Macaca mulatta: one gene and its partners. The protein of the gene in region 2 interacts with the protein of the main gene of each other region in a pairwise test. Links are inferred from orthologs where the notes say so. Each region holds a gene or a part of one and is shown on either strand. Other genes may lie near its edges.

What was found.
Region 1: the proteins of NDEL1 (region 2) and TRAF3IP3 interact in binary tests that used the Homo sapiens proteins (3 or more experiments, as listed by UniProt). The two-hybrid records come from large-scale screens. The link is inferred for Macaca mulatta from reciprocal best matches to the Homo sapiens genes NDEL1 and TRAF3IP3.
Region 3: the proteins of NDEL1 (region 2) and MIS18A interact in binary tests that used the Homo sapiens proteins (3 or more experiments, as listed by UniProt). The link is inferred for Macaca mulatta from reciprocal best matches to the Homo sapiens genes NDEL1 and MIS18A.

What each region holds. Positions count from the first base shown.
Region 1 is NC_133406.1:67,516,979-67,520,629, forward strand, and holds part of TRAF3IP3 (TRAF3-interacting JNK-activating modulator), read left to right. Parts: intron 1-573; coding exon 574-721; intron 722-871; coding exon 872-929; intron 930-1,121; coding exon 1,122-1,146; intron 1,147-1,416; coding exon 1,417-1,446; intron 1,447-1,545; coding exon 1,546-1,641; intron 1,642-3,651. UniProt on the Homo sapiens protein: Adapter protein that plays essential roles in both innate and adaptive immunity. Plays a crucial role in the regulation of thymocyte development.
Region 2 is NC_133421.1:9,937,969-9,942,221, forward strand, and holds the start of NDEL1 (nuclear distribution protein nudE-like 1), read left to right. Parts: upstream 1-1,387; 5' UTR 1,388-1,397; coding exon 1,398-1,487; exon of another isoform or gene 1,488-1,519; coding exon 1,520-1,579; intron 1,580-4,253. UniProt on the Homo sapiens protein: Required for organization of the cellular microtubule array and microtubule anchoring at the centrosome. May regulate microtubule organization at least in part by targeting the microtubule severing protein KATNA1 to the centrosome.
Region 3 is NC_133408.1:15,075,684-15,079,334, forward strand, and holds part of MIS18A (protein Mis18-alpha), read left to right. Parts: intron 1-1,686; coding exon 1,687-1,809; intron 1,810-2,433; coding exon 2,434-2,530; intron 2,531-3,117; coding exon 3,118-3,198; 3' UTR 3,199-3,651. UniProt on the Homo sapiens protein: Required for recruitment of CENPA to centromeres and normal chromosome segregation during mitosis.

The DNA of each region.
Region 1 (3,651 bases), on a different chromosome or scaffold from region 2:
TGCCTGGCCTGAGGAGGACCATGCCTGCCAGTCAGGACAAGGATGTCAGGAGCAGGAGAAGCCCGTGTGGCTCTGAAAGCTTGAGTGGGCTACTTTCATTTTGTGGACCTGAAACATTGTCCTTGTCCTGTAATGAATTACCACAGACTGGGTGGCTTAAATAACAGAAATTTATTTATTACAATTCTGGAGTCTGGAGGTCTAAGACCACGGATCCTGCAGATCTGGTGTCTGATGAGAGCACTCTTCCCACTGTGCAGATGGTCTTCTTCTCATTGTGTCCTCACAAGGCAGAGACCAGAGACAGAAAGCAAGCTCTCATGTCTCTTCTTATAACAGCACGAATCCCACTCATGAGGGCTCCCTGCTCTGAGTTAATTATTTCTCCAAGACTCCACTTCCCAATACTATCACATTGGGAGTTAGGATTTCAACACACAAATTTGGGTGGGGGGACAATAAACATTCAGTCCGTAACAGACATGATGGTTGGTTCTTCCTTCTGAAATCATCAAGAGAATCTTTCAAGAGGCTCCAGGCAGTGGTTTTCAGCATTCCCCACTTGCCTTCCAGGTGGCAGGCACCAGCTCTGAGGTCCTTCCAGCCCAGCATCCTCCTCCCTCAGGCATCTGCAGGGATCTGACTGACCACCTCTCCTCACAGGCTGGGGGCCTTCCTCCACAGGACCCTCCCATCAAGAAGCCACCCAAACACCACCGTGGTAAGAGCAGAGCCTCCCTCACTCCACAGGGCCTGCAGAGAATCCTGAGACAGCTGTCCCAGCTCACTGGCAATGGAGAGTCCCTGCCCCTTCCCACTTCCCTCATTTCCTTCCCATAAGTTCTAAATCAACTTATCCTCTATCTCTCAGGTACTCAGACAAAGGCAGAAGGACCAACAATTAAGAATGATGCCAGTCAGCAAACCAAGTGAGTTCCTGACCCTAACCCTCTCACATCCCATTCATTCCTCTCTAGAGAGAACACAATGAATTTTCATGTCCACCTTAATTAAGAAAGAGGAAGCCCTTCCCCACCCTACTGGCTCTTCAGAAGGGATTTCTGCCTCCTGACTTGATTCTTTGGTCCATTATCATTATTTTTAATTTCTTCTCTTTCCAGTTACGGAGTTGCAGTTCTGGATAAGGTAAGCACATATTCACTTTGAAGGGGTCGAATCAGAAAGTATTAAGCTCTGACATTCTGGAATTCCACGATAAACTTGGCTGGGATGGAGGGGCATCTTCTTCCTGGATGGCAAGGAGGTACTGAGCATAGACATGGGGACTAAATGGACCCTGTCAGAGCCAAAGCAGAAGAGGTTTGCTCTACACAAGCCAACCCAGGTGTAGGTTTTATGTCACAGGGTTTCAGGGGACTTAGAGACATTTTGAATACCCTTGTTCTTTCTCTCCAGGAAATCATCCAGCTTTCTGATTACCTCAAAGTAAGTGGCATGTGACCTCTCCCCTCAGTTCCTCCACCCACCTATCCCCGATCCTCCAGGCTAATCTTACCCTCTTGCACTTTGTTCCCGCACCCCCAGGAGGCCCTACAAAGAGAGCTGGTCCTAAAACAGAAAATGGTGATTCTCCAAGACCTACTGTCCACTCTGATTCAGGCCTCTGACAGCTCTTGGAAGGTAAGGGAATGAAATTTTTTTTGAACAAAACTCATGGGCTTCTATGTGTTCCCATCTCATTTTTCTTTCCATATCATCACAGTAAGAGAAAGGGTTTTGTCACTACTGAAAAGTGAGCTGGGAAGAGGCAGAAGATGAGGGTGATGGTGCTCAGACCTAGAAGTCAAACAGGTCACAATAAATATATGGGTCATCACCTGAGGGTCATGGTGCTACATATCCAAGGAAGACCCAGAACCAAAAGTGGCAAGAATTCCCATTTTTTAATTTGTTGGAAGGAATGAAGGAAGACCCCAACATAGTTTATATTACTGAATATGGTAAATGCCAAATATTTTTGTATGGGATTCACACCGATATTTATCCAAACTAGCATGCCATGTACACACTCAGTCCAAATGAAAATATCAGAGTGGGAAGGGACCTTAGAGACAGTCTGGTCTAATACTCTTATTTTGCCCAGGAGGACACTGAGTTTCATAGGGGTCAAGTAACTTGCCAAAAGTCACACAGCTAGTTAGTGGCAGATCTGGAGCTAAAATTCAGGCCTTTGATTTCGGTCCATTCAATGTACAATATTCATAGGTTATGTCCTCTATACGGAACACTGGACTAGCACTAGAAATAATGAGATTATTTAGATAGGGTTCTTGCTTTGAGAAGGCTCATGGTTTTGTAAGAAAGACACATGACTAAACAATACAAAAACATGAAAAATAAAAGAAATGTTTTCAAGATATAGGAAAATACAAGAAGGAATGAGTGACTCCAGAGAAGAAAAGAGCCAGGGGAATGCTTATATAAGCATTTGCCAGGAAAATATAGAAGCAGAAATAGTATTCTAGTTGGGGTACAGGCAAAGATCTAAAGGCAAGGCCGGGCATGGTGGCTCACACCTGTAATCCCAGCACTTTGGGAGGCCGAGGTGGGTGGATCACCTGAGGTCAGGAATTCAAGACCAGCCTGGTCAACAGGGCGAAAACCCGTCTCTACTAAAAATACAAAAGTATTAGCTGGGTGTGGTTGCACATGCCTGTAATCCCAGCTACTTAGGAGGCTGAGGCAGGAGAATCGCTTGAACCAAGAAGGCGGAGTTTGCAGTGAGCTGAGATCACCTCATTGCACTCCAGCCTGGGCAACAGAGCAACAATCCATCTCAAAAAAAAAAAAAAAAAATTAAAGGCATGACACAGTCTAATAAAATGGTTCTCCAATTTTTTTATTTCAGGATTCCTTTATACTTTTTCAATTATTGAAAATATATAAGAAATGTTTATATTTACCATATTAGAAATTAAAACAGTTGGCCAGGCGCAGTGCCTCACACCTGTAAGTCCCAGCACTTTGGAAGGCCAATGCAGGAAGATCACCTGAGGTCAGGAGTTAGAGACCAGCCCAGCCAACATGGCAAAACCCTGTCTCTACTAAAAATACAAAAATTAGCCAGGCGTGGTGGTGCACACCTGTAATCTCAGCTACTCCGGAGGCTGGGCCACGAGAATCACTTGAGCCCAAGAGATGGAGGTTGCAGTGAGCCAAGATCGTGACACTGCACTCCAGCCTGAGTGACAAGGCAAGACTCCCTCTCACAAAAAAAAAAAAAAAGAAAAGAAAAGAAAAAGAAAAAGAAAGAAGAAAGAAGAAAGAAGAAAGAATTTAAGACAGAAATTGAGAAAGAATTATTAATTTTAAAATGATAGTAAAATATTTCATGCTAATCTAAATTACATGTTTTAAGAAAAACAGTCTGGGCACAATGGCTCACACCTGTAATCCCAGCACTTTGGGAGGCCAAGGCAGGCAGATCACTTGAGCTCAAGAGTTCAAGACCAGCCTGGGCAACATGGCAAAACCTTGTCTCTACTAAAAATACAAAAAATTAGCCAGGTGCATTTGCATGCACCTATAGTCTCAGCAACTCGGGAGGCTGAGGCAGGAAAATCTCTTGAGCCCCAGGGGCAGAGGTTGCAGTGAGCCAAGATTGCACCACTGCATTCCAGCCTGGGCAAC
Region 2 (4,253 bases):
TGGGGCAGGGTGCGGTGTCTCACGCCTGTAATCCCAAAACTTTGGGAGGCCGAGGCAGGCGGATCAGGAGTTCGAGAGCAGCCTGGCCAACATGGTGAAACCCCGTCTCTACTAAAAATATACTAAAAATACAAAAATTAGCCGGGCGTGGTGGCAGGCGCCTGTAATCTCAATTACTTGGGAGGCTGAGGCAGGAGATTCGCTTGAACCTGGGAGGCAGTGAGCTGAGATCGCACTGCTGCACTCCAGCCTGGGCAACAAGAGCAAAATTCCGTTTCAAAAAAAAAAAGCAAAATGGATTGTAAGAGGTATATATCTAATATATAATGTATATACTATAATGTATATAGTATATATTATATAATATATAATACATAATTGTATAATATATTACATATTATAATACATATAATATACAGCAAAGTTCTTAAAATTGTTTTTAAAATGTATCTCTTATATAATATATAATATATAAAATTATATATAATATATAAATTTGTGAAATTATAAATTTGTGAAATTATATATTATATATAATAATGTATATTATATAAAATATATAATATATAATATATATTTTATAGATATATGTTATATATTATATAAAATATGTTATATATATTTTATAAAATACATAATATATGTTATTATACATATATAAATGTAGGACTCCATTTCTTAGGGGCCTTGGAGGGGAGAAAGTCACACCCATACACACATGTACACGCATGTATACAAAAATGAATATATGCTCAGATATATACAATATATAAATATATTTATATATACAATATATAAATGGGCAAATATAAAATCCCCTTGGTGCCAACGAATCCATTCATTCATCAAATATTTGAGCGTCCACTTTGCCTAGAACCAAGTTATCTGTTGGGATGAGCAAGGCATAAAAGGTTCTAGCTCTCATAGAACTTAGAATTCTACTGGAGGAAGATGAGAACAAATACAAAATGTAAGCAGTGCAAGTGCTGTAAAAACAACACAGAGCTTTGTGGCAGTGATGCTTAGAATGCCCCTGGTGTTCCATTGGGTGTTCAGGCAGGGGGAATGGACTCGGAGGTGAACTATGAGCCGAGATTCGTTTTATAAACGGGAACACTGACACATGGACACTTGAAGGGCCTTGGTGGCCGGAAAACTGAAGGCACGTTCCCATCCGTCTTGGAACCACTCTCCCGAATAGCAGTTTCAGGGAGCTGCTGAAGCCATAACCAGCCGGTCTCAGAGTCCAAGAACGCCTGCGCAAAAGGACGCCGTCAGCTTGACGTCAGCGCGCCGGGCTCTGGCCCGCCCCCTGTGGCACCAGCCCCGCCCCGCCCCGCCCCGCATACCCGCGGGCTGCCGCGCATGCTCCGAGCCCCGCCCCCGTGCGTCACAGAATGGCCTCGGACACCCAGGCAGTCCCTGACGTGTCGGGGAGGAGCCGGGAGCGGAGGTGCGCGGAGTGGAGCTCGGGGCTGCGGAGGGGAGCTGAGCCGAGCGGCTGGGCGGGCCTGGCCAGGCCAGCGGAGCGGAGACGTGGGTCGAGCGGCGGCGAACATGCGCTTTTGACACATTGGAGGTGAGCCTGCACCGCGGGACCTCTCCCTAAGGGGCTGCGCTGGGCCGGCGGCGCCGAGGCCTGCCCTTGGGGAGCCTTCCCGGCCCGGGGCCGTGTCTGAGGCTCCGCCGGGGCGGGCCGGGCCGGGCCGGCTTCTGGGGCGGCCAGCCCAGGGACAACTGTTCCAACCGCTCTAACTGTCCCCTCCCTTCCCTGGTCCGACGTGTGGTCCCCCCAGGGGCGCCTGCAAGGGAACGATCCCTGTGGCCTCCGGAGGATGTGCCCCGTTCCGGGTGGGGTGAGGGCTGGCGGTGACGGAGGCCGGGACGTGGCACCGTGGGCTGGGGCGCTGGCGGCGCAAGGAGTGGCCCAGTCGGAGGTGGCAGCGGCGCGCCCAGCCTGCCGCCTCCTACCCCCTCCCTGAAATTCCTTCATTTGCGAGGGTGTCTTGAAGCGGGGTTGCATTTCGATCTCTCAGTGCGTCTCTCCCATGGGGGGCGAGAGCGCGAGCAGCCCACGTTGGGCTCGGATTGGCATTCCCCTGACTCCCGCCCAGAACTGCTAATCATCCTCCCCTTGGAGTTCGGGAAAGTGTCACGAACGGGCTCGGGTTACCTGTGCTCGACTCTTTTCGAGCTGTAAGCCACGAGATGACCCTTTAAGTTTTGCAAAGCAGGTGAAAGTTCTATCCCTACTAATTATTACGTTCTATTTACGTAGCACCTTTACACGCTTCAGAACTCTCTTCCTATCTCTTTCAAACCGCATCACCTTGTGGTTGCAGCTGATTATGTTATCGCCATTTCGATGGAGAAATGGAGCTGGAATGGGGGTAATTGATTTATACTTAGGTTCAATCAACTGGTGAGTGGCTTAGCTTGGATCATAATTTACATTTCTAGGCTCGGAGTTCTGGTTTCTTTTCGTGGGATTTTTATACCCTTCTCAGCTAGAAAACAAGGCAGAAAATGTGACTTGCCAAAGGTATGCCAGAAGCTGGTTGATTACTTACTCAATTATTTTTGAGCAAACTCACCTAGGATAAAAACTGCTGCTCAGTCATGAGAAAAATCTTACTGTGAAGCTTGTTCAGGAGTTGCTGGTTAACATTGTGTCAGCTAAACTGTGTTGCTCTTAATGTGCTTAAAAGACAGGGTAATGTCTTTGCTAAATCATGAAGTTGATGGGCACAATGCAGCGTTAAGTCATGGCCTGAAGAGAAGTAAAGGGGAACCAAGTGAAGTATCTCTTCTAAATTATTATTAAAATTATTGTTATTTAAAATTAGAGTGCATGAGAAACAAAACCTTTGGCCAGCCCTGGTTAGAGGTTGACTTGATCCAGATGGAAGTTGTTAAATCTTCTGAAACTGTAGTTGTTTTGATTTTTTTTTAAATTAAATAGATTGAAGTTGGATAAGGAGCTTAAAATAAGTAGGAACCTTAGTAAAACTTAGATCCTGCTTTCATGAGATCTGCAAAACAACGTATTTTCATTGTAAACCATGCTGAGATAAATTTGGTTACTAAAGCTTAAAATTACTTCTGACGTAAGTTTCTGAGCACTCCATAAAGTAGAAAAAGAAGTCTGATAGAATCAAAGAGAGACCATGTTTATGATCAACTTCGAAGAGTTAAAAATTCTGTAAATGTCACCTTTGAGAGCAGTAGAATTTCGGTAAAAAGGCATGTATTACCAACATACCAACATGTAATTACTCCAGCGTCATTAGTCCATCTTAGAACTGTTAACCAGAAACAATATTGAAAATAGATTTTCTTACCATTATGCAAAGAGTAATTTCCTTGTAAATAAAAGGCATTTTGGACAGGCTGTTTTCAATTCAAACGAGTTGATTGTTGCTAGGTTTCTGAAGGTCATACATTGTATGATAATGCTTTCCGTAAAAATTGTCATGCTTTTGAGACTCTGTCCATATTGAGACCTGATGTTAAATAAAGATGGGGTGGGGGTGGGCAGAGAATAATAATTTTTTTTTTTTTTTTTTTGATGGAATCTCCCTCTGCCGCCCAGGCTGAAGTGCAGTGGCACGATCTCGGCTCACTGCAACCTCCACCTCCCAGGTTCAAGCGATTGTCTTGCTCAGTCTCCTGAGTAGCTGGGATTACAGGTGCGTGCCATCATGCCCTGCCAGTTTTTGTATTTTTAATAGAGACAGGGTTTCACCATGTTGGTCAGGCTGGTCTCGAACTCCTCACCTCGTGATCTGCCCGCCTCAGCCTCCCAAAGTGCTGGGATTACAGGCATGAGCCACCGCGCCCTGCCAATAATACATAATTATCTATCTTCATTCTAGCTTCAGAAAATTGTGGATGTACCATTAGAGCATTGTTTTAGCAATGTGTTTTCTATATTGGCTAACTTTCTATAGCGTGAAAATCTCTAATTATATAGTTTCAAATAACAGTGAACACATCCTCCCAGTGTAACTTGAAGCAAACTGAACAGACTGTAACACAGTCCCTGAAACTGTTATTTGAGTATCTGCAGTGGTAGCAAATTTTATTATTTGTAAATAATCTGATTTTTGTTTTCATTTTTTTGGAGACAGGGTCTCATTTTTGTCACCCAGGCTGGAGTGCAATGGAACGATTACGGCTTACTGCAGCCTGAACTTCCCTAACTCAAGCGATCCTCCCATCTCAGTCTCACGAGTAGCTGGGACCACAGGTGC
Region 3 (3,651 bases), on a different chromosome or scaffold from region 2:
CTTTGTTGAGGATCTTACAATCGGATTATTCCTTGTCTAACATTACCTTACGATTGTTGGCACTGCCTTCTCAATGTTAGTGTTCGATGACAAGGGTGAATTCTGGCCAAATTCTTGCCAACTGTGAAAGCAGAAAGATGCTGCCTTAATAGTAGCTACCATCTCTTCATTGTTCCACAAGATGATTCTAGAAGTGTGAATGGGTTTTTTCCTATTTTTGGTGGTGTTTAGGTTGATTTTGATAACTCAGGATAAAACAGTCTTATTCATGGCTCAGTGTGTTTGGGGAGTTCAAGCCTCTGGTTTCTCTGAGTGTCCTTTCTTGGCTGATGACATTAGATACAGTTTACAATCTTGGTAATGGTGTGAGGCGGTCTCATAATGGTAATGAGGTTTGATATATAGCATGGAGGTTTGCCTGTTCACTGTGAGTAATTTAAGTGGGATTTACTAACATACTTTTATATTTCTTATATAAAAACTTGTACAAGCTGGCTGGGTATGGTGGTTCCTGCCAGTAATCTCAGCACTTTGGGAGGCCAAGGTGGAAGACTGCTTGAGGCTAGGAGTTCAAGACCAGCCTGGGCAACATAGTGAGATTGTTTCTACTATAAAACTAAAAAAAGTGTAGAAACTTATAAAAGCCCGTAGACACTTAATATGTAATCAGTGGCATATTATCCAGCTAATCACATCATCAGTGAGAATTCCATTTTGTTCTTTGATCCATATGTTGCTGTAATAATTAACAGTGTCTCAGTATCTGTAAGTAAACAATGATGTAGTCTGTAATCTGTGAGTCTTGGGTAGCTCCCTTTTGCTTGATAGCAGGAATAGATATTTTGTGATTACAAGTATTTCATGTACTGAGTAGGAGATAATACTTTTGCAATAATAATCGATTGTGGTGTATGTTTTACTACTGTGATCACTACTGGATTGAAATCTCCAGTCATCACTTTGCTGTGTGTTGGAGTGGCAATTTTAGTGTATTTATAGAATGGTAAATTTGGATGGGTCAGTTCAACAAGGCGTTTGAGAGACACTGGATTCTAAGCCGGGTTTTAAGGAGACATGAGTAGGCTTTAGGGGAGGGTATATTCAAGTGTGTGGAACCTGAGTTGAGAGGTAACTAGAATGAAGGAACAATTGCATGGGTTGTCATCTAACTTTTTTTTTTAAATTAAGACAAACAGTATTACTTTCCACTAGAGCAGAGTTTGGTAAACTATGGCCCATGGGGAGGGCACTCATTTGTGAATACGAGTTTATGGGAACACAGATTATTCAGTTAGTATTGTCTATAGGTGCTTTGTTTTACAATGACAGAGGTGAGTAGTGACAGACACCATATGGCTGGCAAGCCTAAAATATTTATTCTCCACTTTGTTACATTAGTACCAGATTGAGGAATTTATATTCTAGAAAAACACCACCTCGATATCCTCTCTTGTCACTTTTTTATATGTCCCTTGTTATTTGATACTTAAGGCATTGTGACTTGGAGATGACTGTCTTTACATTTTTATTGTAAATATATTACTATCATTTTTTCCTATCCTTTATGTATGACCTAGTGTGGTCAGAATAGCATACTTTAGAAGCTGAAGTGTTTATGGATTTTAACAATGAGATTAGAATGAGTTGCTACTTCGTTTCCTAAAGCAAGGCGTTTCTTTATTGCAGCATCCTGGAGACCTTGTATTGTGCAGGGTGCTCGCTCAATCTTGGCTACGTGTACAGATGCACGCCCAAGAATCTTGATTATAAGAGAGACTTGTTTTGCCTCAGTGTTGAAGCCATTGAAAGGTAAGTTTGATATATAAATGTTTACCTCACAACTGGTGTTTCAGAAAGTTAAGTTTGCAGAGAAATTGGCACGGAAGTGTCCGAACTAAATCAATACTGTTTCGTTAAATATATTTTCAAGTAATGATTTCTAACAAGCCAGTAATTTTTTTTTTTTTTTTTTTGCTTTGACCTGCTTCTTTATTTGGTATTGGAAAAGTCAGACACTCTAAATTGTAGGAGAAAACACTGTGAGAAATTTTTTTGGAATAAAAGTATATTCAGTTGTTTTTAAAAATTGAATGTAGTTTAGTAGGATTTTGCCCACCGCCCCTAGCTTTTTATTTTTATTTCTTTTAAAACTTATTTTTTTAAGATCTGGGGTCTCACTCTGTCACCCAGGCTGGAGTGCAATGCTGTGGTCATAACTTTCTGCGTCCTTGAACTCCTGGGCTCCAGCAATCCTCTTGCGTCAGCCTCCCAGGCAGCTAAGACAACAGGCGTATTGCCTGGGGTCTTGTGTTGCCCAGGCTGGTTTCAAACTCCTAGCCTCAGATGATCCTTCTGTCTCAGCCTCCTGAATAGCTGGGAACAAGTGCATGCCACCACACCAGGCTTGTATTTTAACCTTGTATCGTACGTCAGTTATGTTTTAGGGTCCTCTGAAAAGCAAATTGTGTCAGAAGATAAAGAGCTTTTTAATCTTGAAAGCAGAGTTGAAATAGAAAAGTCTCTAACACAGGTAATTTTATTCTGTACGTTTTGTATCTCTGTATGAACAATTTGTCAGTGAAGAAGTGCTTCCCCACAAACGATAATCCTCATAACGTCATCTGTCTTGATCGCAGGAAGAGTGTGCCTGTTTCATTTCAGGTGTTAGTAAAGTTGATTTTTGGGGAACTCAAATGAAGCTAAAGCTTAATCAACAAAATAATAAGGAAGACATTTCATGACAAAATCAAAACTATGTATTCTAATTTTGCTAAGCTAGAAATACATCTTTGATTCAAATCAGTATTTTGTTTGCTTCGATTCTTGTGGTATAATTAGCCTTGTTGTTGGATGTTAACATTTTGTCATGGCCAGATAGGTGAGATGGTGATGATTGTATAAAAGAGATGCAGATTGTAGGTTGAGAACTAATGTTGATAGAATTATGCTTTATTTTTAAAAATTTATGCCTGCAAATAGTTTTGGTAAACACTGAATATCTACCATGTAATGTATGATATATCCAAAATTGCATTAAGTGTATATCTTAATTATTTTTAACCATGTATAATTTTAAATGATATGTGTGTTTAATTTTTTATTTTTTCAATTCAATAGATGGAAGATGTCTTGAAAGCATTACAAATGAAGCTGTGGGAGGCCGAATCAAAATTGTCCTTTGCCACTTGTAAAAGCTGAACTCTAGTCTGTGTCCTCCATTCTGCCCCCGCCCTTCCTCCCCTTATTTGTTAAATGAAGCAACATACTGAGACGTCGTCTCTACAAAAAAAAAAAAAAAAAAAAAAAAATTAGCCAGGCATGCGAAACGCTGAGGTGGGAGGATCACTTGAGCTTGGGAGGTCGAGGCTGCAGTGAGCCTTGATCATGCCATTACTGCATTCCAGCCTGGGTGACAGACTGAGACCTTGTCCCCCCGCCCCGCAAAAGAAAAGACCCCAAAATTGTGGAATTACTTTTAGCTATATTTTATGGTAAAAAGTGATTGTTTCTCAAAATCCCATTTTAAAGCCGTTTTATGGTACTTGTTGGAATTAGGACTTAGGAGTTTTGATTTTGATAAGAAACTGGGATAATTTTCTGAACTTTTTTTCCTCTGTATCACATTTATTTACTATTTTTAAAAACTTTATT